2 linked regions of the Drosophila melanogaster genome follow. The protein of the gene in region 2 interacts with the protein of the main gene of each other region in a pairwise test. Each region holds a gene or a part of one and is shown on either strand. Other genes may lie near its edges.

Evidence for each region. Proteins that work in one complex are often made in the same cells at the same time.
Region 1: the proteins of CG6398 (region 2) and OS9 interact in a two-hybrid assay, tested with the Drosophila melanogaster proteins (one large-scale study listed by BioGRID).

The regions. Positions count from the first base shown.
Region 1 is NT_033779.5:19,965,133-19,968,229, reverse strand, and holds OS9 (Olfactory-specific 9), read left to right. Parts: upstream 1-1,719; 5' UTR 1,720-1,753; coding exon 1,754-1,810; intron 1,811-1,869; coding exon 1,870-2,412; 3' UTR 2,413-2,566; downstream 2,567-3,097. Other genes in the region: Hf (helical factor), read left to right, coding at 576-656, 720-1,283; CG10680 (uncharacterized protein), read right to left, coding at 2,949-3,097.
Region 2 is NC_004354.4:17,828,872-17,833,845, reverse strand, and holds the start of CG6398 (uncharacterized protein), read right to left. Parts: upstream 3,019-4,974; 5' UTR 2,526-3,018; coding exon 2,400-2,525; intron 1-2,399.

The sequences.
Region 1 (3,097 bases), on a different chromosome or scaffold from region 2:
TATGGTTATTGTACAAATTATTAAGGATGTTTTGGTAATCCAGACTCTTTTCTTTACAATTAAATTTATTTAAAAACACTTTTTCGATTTTACCAACCTTTAGAGATCAGATTGAAAATGTTGTAAGTGTACAAAAGAATGAGCATATTTTGATTATCCGGACGACTTTCTTCCCGTTACAAGCCAATTTACAAATGCTGAATATGAATATATATATACATATAGTCCGGATCAATATGAGAATGCAGTAGCTTGCTAATAACCTAAGTATATGCTAAGATGTGTAATTTACAAATCTAATTGTTAATGTTACTCGTGTGTATGCAGATTACTACTAACATTCGACTAGACGGCATCTTTTTTTCCTAGCTAGCTTAAATAGAAAACCACGAACGAACATTAATGGCCATTAATTTGCTCACTCTACGAAATTCGTATAAACAGTACTTGAGATATTTTCTACTTGCGCTTAATAAAACAAACAAAACCTAAGCCAGTCGAGATTGTTTGGGTGGGGAGACCGTTTGGCATCCGTCCGACATGATCAGTCTAAATCGAGCAGCGATCAGAGGAGCATGGCGAGATCAGGGCGCAGTTCGAGGTTTCTTATCGGCGGCAGCACTTGCTGTTCGATGCTTCTGGGTCTTATCTGTCTGGTGAGTCGGTGAGTCGGCAGTGGATTAGATAAGGAACTTATTGATTTTCCTCTCGATTGCCAGGCTCTGGCGGACTCATCCCAAGTGAAAGAACGCAGCCCTACCATCTTGGTGAGAAATACAATTCAAGCGGTGGAGAGGCTCTTCAATCAGGTGCTCTACACGACCATCGAAGATGCCCGCCAACGACTACCGGGTCTTCCGGCCAACGAAACCATCGATCGGCAGTACTTCGAGGAGCTCGACCTGGTTGCTGGGAACGAGGACTATTACAGCACTGCATTCTATATCTTCGCCTGGATAAACAGCGACCTCATGTACCATAAGACTCCCGATAAGTTGCTCGTCGAGGTTCTTCCCGGCGAGAAGATCGCCATCCGCAGATTCTTCGCCAAGGTCAAGCCGCATCTTACCAAGTATCTGCGACTCAGTCGACAGGACAGGTCGGAATTGGTTTCCAACGTCACCCAGTTGGCCACCGAAACCAAGGACAGTCTGATCACAACCTTCTTGGAGTTTCCCCAGAACCTGAAGAGCCAACTTCCTGAGCTCCAGCTAATGGACTACACCAAATTGGCTCAGGCTTTGGTGCAGGGGGTGGCCAGTGGTATATGGACGAAGGCTTAAGATTAATAGCTAAATATTTAAACAATATCATAGAATTAGAAAGTGTTTGTAATAAAATGAGAAATGTACTTCAAAGAACAATATTCGGAATCTATTTATACGAGGACTTTATTCCTGAAAAATGCCGTTTAACTTCCGGAAAATTTCCGACTGTCTGATCAACATGTGTAGATATCGAGAACTGATACTTTAAAGCAATAAAGATATTATCGTGACTTGGAACTATATACGACTTTGTAATAACAAAATGCATGGTTTCCACTACCCACTAATTAATATACGAAGGGGCAGCACTCGTTCTTATCACGCTCACCGATTTCTGAAGTCTGATTACAGTCTATACGTTGTCTCACGATCAGTGGGTATTCATTACAGAGGAGGCGTTCTCCCATTTTGTATAAAAATTGTGAATTTAAGAGAGGGAATATAAAAGGAATCAGTTCGATAGAGACTAGATACAGTTTCAAATCATGGCCAGCAGACTAACTTGGACTTTTCTAGTCGCTGTAGCTGCCCTCCAGCTTTCGGTAAGATCCTTAGATTTGCTTATATCCTTTTGGAATCAACAGAAACCTTTAACTTTCAGCTTGCAGCGCCTCTCATTAACAAATGGCAGTTACAATTCGAAGTGTCCAATGAACTCTTTCAAATGGTAACAGACGCCATGGAACAGCTACGACATGTCTTTCAATTGGTCATCGACGAGGCCGAACTCATTTTACCACCAAACTCCAAGGGACACATTCTCAGGGAGCTTAAGGACTTCGTCGCGGCCTTGGACACCCTGGACTTCGATGATTCATTCGAGCTGAACAGACTGGAGGATGCTCTTGAGGAACTGGAAAGCATCATTTCGATTGCAGGCAGCAAAGAATTCGAATCGGAAGCTGACGAGGTTGTCGTTCAGCTATTCATACAGCACGGAGTTGAGGACCTGGAGCAGATCCTGGAAAGAAACTTGGAAACTACTCTGAAAATCGTAGAGCAGAAGGTGGAGAAATACATGAGCACATGGTCCGACAGTCGGTTGGCCAGGAACGCGGCGATGGTCAAGCAGTTTAATGACTTTAAGAACGAAAAGGATGTCTATGAGAAGCTGGACAAGTTAACCAACTCTGATTTCATTTGAATAAACATATCATGTTTCAAGTACATTTAAGTTTAAACCAAATAACTACAGATACATAGTCCGAACGTATATATTATTTCCAGAAACTGCCTTGCAAATATCAAAACCAGTAGTCCAGAGTTCATGTTTTGTATTAGCACGCTCGCCGGAAGCTAAAATTTGATTACATATTGCAGCTGATTTAACAATCAATGAGCATATAATAAATACGCTAGTAAGTGTTTACTACTTAGTGCAGGTATGACGTAAGAAATGTGGAATTCATTTTACAAAGGTATTGAATACCTTAATATACCTTTTTTAGATTTGTAAGCTGTCAGGTTTCAATAGCTTTGAAAGTTTTACTGACTTTCTATTCAATACAATTGTTATTTAGTCTGATAAATAAACCGTGCGGAAAGTAAAATAACTGATTATTTGTAATGCCAAGAATCTTTACATTACACACAGACAAGTCAGTATAATCTCTAGCAGCCTTAACTAGTTGTTTTTGAGAACTCGGAACTTTCATTCATCAGCTTCTCTTAGGAAAGGTGTTAAAAGTTGCGATAAGATGATCCAAATCCATCCCGCGAGTCGAACACATCCCGCTCGATTTGGGGAGGTCCTCTTCCATCCGATGTGTAGCTATAGGATTCGCTCCGGTAAAAGTTGTTAGAAGAGCCCCCGGAACCAAGGGGACCAC
Region 2 (4,974 bases):
AATTCAAGGAAAAGGGCAGCCTGCAGGCTAAGAAAAGGAAGAATTAAACTCTAAACAGTATGCAATCTAATGTACATATACCAACAAGACATACAATTAAAGATAATATAAGATATAGGGGTATTTAAAGGAAAGTAACAACACAGAGCTTCCTTTTCCACCATAATAGTTTCCATTTGACTTCTTTCGAAGAAAACATCTGTAATTAGCTAAAGAAAGGTTGGAAGTGATGATATTCTGACACCATCATCATGATTCCCTCGACTGACTCCCCCGGATTCCCATTCTTTGAGTAGCGCTCATAATCGCTGTGGGTATTTAGTTCTCCACTCCCCTGGGGATGCACTTCATAGGACCCTAGGGTTTCCTGTGGCCAAGTAGCCCATCTCGAGTTACCTGCTGCACCTGAGCGGTTCTTCAAAGGCTCTTACAGGGGCGGAAATCGAAGGAGAACGGAGATATGGAGATGGAGGAGATGGAGGTGGAGGAGGAGGAGGAACAAGAAACGTGGATGGGGAGAAGGGAGCGATGACCCAAAATGGGGGAGGTCAAGGCAGACGATTGCTTCTAATGGCTTTATAAGTGCCCAGGCTCTGAAGACTTCGACGCTGGGCGAGATTCGAACGAATCTCACCGCAATTATCGTTCCCTCGATTCCATTGAAACTTTCGGATTAGGCGACAAAGTCGAAAAACGTGCAAATATTTTCAGCACACTTTGAGTGCTTTTCTTCCTCTTCTTCAGCTTTGTTTTTTATTGTTTTTTTTTTTGTTTAGCTAACTTGTTTTGGTATGATTGGTATGCGCACGCACACCGCCGCGATTTTACACCTATTTCTATAGAGCTCTCCGCATCTAAAATTCTCTCGGCTGCACCTACAAGACGGAGTTGGATTTTCTACAGTGCCACTTCATTAAGACAAACTGCTGCTTATTTGAAAGAAATTAAAACACACATATGCTGCGATTGCTTTCGGCCCTTTAAGAGGCGGATTATAACTGAGATTTCAGTTAGCTAGTTGTATTTCATAAATAGTGAAGTAACCAACATAAAATTGAAAATTAGATTACTTGGAAGAATGGGAAGTGTTGTAATCCGCAGTTTGACTGTATTTGCAATGCAAACTGTAAAATTGTGTACTCCTTCCACTTCACCGCCCCTTTCTTCTTTTTCTGCGGCCTCTTCTGCCTGGGCTCTTCTTCGTTTTTTCGCTTGGCTAAGCGCTCGCGTAGAAAGTTTGAACGTTAACGGCCGTTGCCCATCCTCCACAGGCCCCTCTCGATCAACACCGCACCACTCCCTCCCTTCTTCCCTACCCACCTCCTTCCAATGCCAGTTGTTCGTGTATTTGCTTTCGACCTTTCTTCTTCTCCGCCTTGCCCTTTTTCTTTTTCTTTCGGCCAAGCACAAAACGAGCGACTGTTACTGTTACCTCCGTTTGTTGCTGTTGCCTTCGTGGTTGCCTCTCCGCTCCTCTCCTCCCTTTTCACCTACTCCTCCTCCTGCTTCTTTTTTCTCGCCCTCCTACTCCGCACAGTGGGCCGCGCACACCTGTATGCAGTGCACAAATGTCAGCAAGTGCATCTTAATTACATATCTTGTTTATCTAAGCATCGCTATAGATAAGATTCTCGGAAGAGGACGGATTTTAAAAGATATGCAAAGATGTTTGTAGAACTAAATGTCTCCTACTATTATTAGTAAAATATAATACACATTATTCTCTGGACATAGTCGAACGGGCTTAATTCCTTGGAAATTATGGAGATATTCGTTCCGGTTTTAATATTAATTAAGTATGAAAACTTTAATCCTTATCGTATTTATTTACTATGCTTCCAATGGCATTTGTGAAATGAAGCCACTTATTTTCAAAATATATTTAATAATATAATATAGTACTCTGCTATACTTTCCAGAAGACGAAGTCCTAAACTCTAGCAAGTTATTTTCAACAACTAATATCTATTGTATAAGTAGGGCCTAAATTAGGATATTTTCAATTTCCCTACCCATTTTAAATATTTCCATTGTATCGTACCATTATATCGTTGTCTTGCACGACTTTGAACCCGATCTTTTCCGATTTCTTAAGCTATTGCCTAATCCCAGCCTGGATCTACTTTAGCCACATCTCTGGGACCAATGTGCAGAGCTCGTAAGCGGAGCTAAAGCTCCGTCTTAAGCGGGAGAGTCTTCGGCTTTGGTTGTAACTCTGTCTCTGGCTGTGGCTTCTGCCACGCAGTCGCAGATGCACCGTATATTTCGGTGGCGCTGGCTCTGGCCTTAGCTGATTATGTATTCCAAGCGGATGGGCCTTGGGTTAATTCGATTCGTAGCCCCCACCTTCTCTGGCACTGAAGACTAAAGACACTGTAGACTGCAGATTGAAGACTCACCTGTATCTGGTTGCGCCAGACATCGTAGTGCAGCCAATTATCCGTGGAGAAGGCGATCGCCAGCAGGGCGGTGGCGATGATCGCGCAGATCGTCGCTATAGATAGGGTTACGGCCGAGCAGGGCATGCTGGTGTTTTATTCCGGATCTGTTTCGAAATCTCAGCTATTTTGGGGCTATGATACGGGATTTATCCAACGAAAATCCCCGAGAAGAAAACAACAACTACAGTTGCTATTATTTTTCTTTCGTTTCGTGATCTCTAGCGTCTTCGACGTCTTCTTCTTCCGCAGCTAGATTCTGCCGCTTCTTCTTGAACTGCTACTGCTGCTGCACAAATACACAGTTAAAAGAGCAGCAACCAGTTTGGAAGGCACAGCAAAAAAAAAGCCAACGTTCGTTAAAAAAAATAATAATTTTAGCAACGGGCCAGCACTAACACACTGACACGGGCTCCACTGCACACGCTCACAACACTACACACACACACACGCACGCCGGCGAAGAATCTGAGCTGGAGAATTGAGAACGGAGAACTGAGAATCTGAATCTGGGCAGCAAAGAGACGGAGAACTGATAGCCAAGACGTTGTGATCGCAACAACGTTCGCCAGCGGACTGAAAATCGTCGGCGACTGAGCCAGACTTCAGGTAATACCAAATACCCATATACCATACCCATACCCATACCCATAGTCTCAAGTCGCAGTCGGCGTCTCAGTCGGCGTTTCATTTGAGCGCTTTGCAATGCAACCGGACTGAGGGGGGAGGAGAGTTAGGAGCAGGAGGCAAGGAGACGGTGCCTCTTCTACCTGCTGGATAAAGCAAAAACAAGAAAGGAGAGACTGTTTCGGCAAACGAACCATGGAATACCCTCACAGAATGCTTATATCTCTGCCAATTTGAGGCGAACTTGATATGATCTTTCATAAGCTCATTATACATTTATGTACGAAGTTTCAGATTTTCATATTCGATAACGTAAGATTTGTGTTAATTGTGACTTTATGTTAACGCATCTACAAAACCCAACACTGGATAATCCAGATAACAAAACGCGATGATAGACAAGGCAAATCATGATATCCCGTAAACACATATGCCCAGTTGAGATTTGCAGAAATAACGTTAGATATATAAGAGCTAGTAACCTTTTGTTAGGGTATACGAAAGGCAAACAACAACAAAGCAGCAGCCTGTTGATCTTTTCGTATGTTTGTTTGGTATTTGGTATGCGGTGCTGCCTGTGCAATGGAGTCCCAGTCCCACTGGGCAGGAAGGTAGGACGCGAGGCACACAGCCACATGGGCGTAGGCGGTGGGCTGGAACTCGAAGGGGGCGTTCGAAGGGGTGTGCTGGTGCTCCCATATCTCGACCGTATCGCAGTTATGCCACGCCAGATCGTAACTCTGTCAAAACTGAGCCACATATTTTATTAGCAAGATATTGGAATCAGGCTCCTAAAAACAAATACCCATTACACTGAAGGATCATAATTGGAGTTTCTGCGGAATGTGAATATCATTATTTGACACGTCAATATCATTGCCTGCACACCCATTTAAACGGTTTTGTTTTTGAGCCTGAATAAACATGCATGAATTTGCCTATATCTAAAATGGTTCATTTGAAAATCGACTTGTAAGAACAATGCGTCCAGCTGATAGAGAGTCATTAACTTCTGGGGCGAGAATTTTTTGTATATTCAAATGCCTAATCTGAAATTCCGCCCACATGAGTGCGATTAGTTCGGCCTTTTCCACCGCCCGCTGCTAATCAGGGCGCAGCCGATTTCTCGCAGTGTGCAATTGACCCAAAGATGCTGCGACTGCGCAGGTAAAAAATATATACACACAGACATCTCGTGTACGGACATATCCATATAGAGATAGGTGTTTGTGTTTGTGCGGCATTGGCATCTCGCTGCGTCTACTTGCTGTTGTTGTTGTTGATTTTCATCGGCTTTAATGCCTTTGTCTATTTTGGGTTTCTGTTTATGGCGTGGGTTTTTCTCAATTGCATTTTTGGGCGCGCTCTCGACTGCAGCAGCAAAAGCACAGTGGCGGGCAGAGAGATAGCAGCGTTTAAGAAATTAAGAAATATGCATATAGAAAATCGCCTAAAAACTGAAAGAATTTAATACCCTAAAGAGGTGCTGTTTGATTCATTTTTAAATGTATAAATTGGATACGCTTTGCTATTATTTTGTCCTATTTTTCATCTTTAACGTGATACACATTGATTATATTAGTTCTAGACCATGAAATTCCCAAATTTTAAAGACGTACGCTTTAAATGTACCATGTTAATTAGTTATTCTCTGGCAAAATGTAACAAAATTGGAAACTACCATATTGACGGGCATTGTAAGTGTCGTATGTGTGAGTGTGGAAATACCAGAATTACCTAAATAACAACAAGAATAGCCGTGCACTTATAAAGCAATGTTTGTAATCGGATCGCATTGGCATGTTGGCCAGTTGAGTTCAGTTCTCAATTGCTGGCCAAAAGTTTTTGGCCCCTCGAGTGTCTGACTGTCAGTCAGTCTGTCTCTTTCTGCGCCCCATTACCCCTCTCC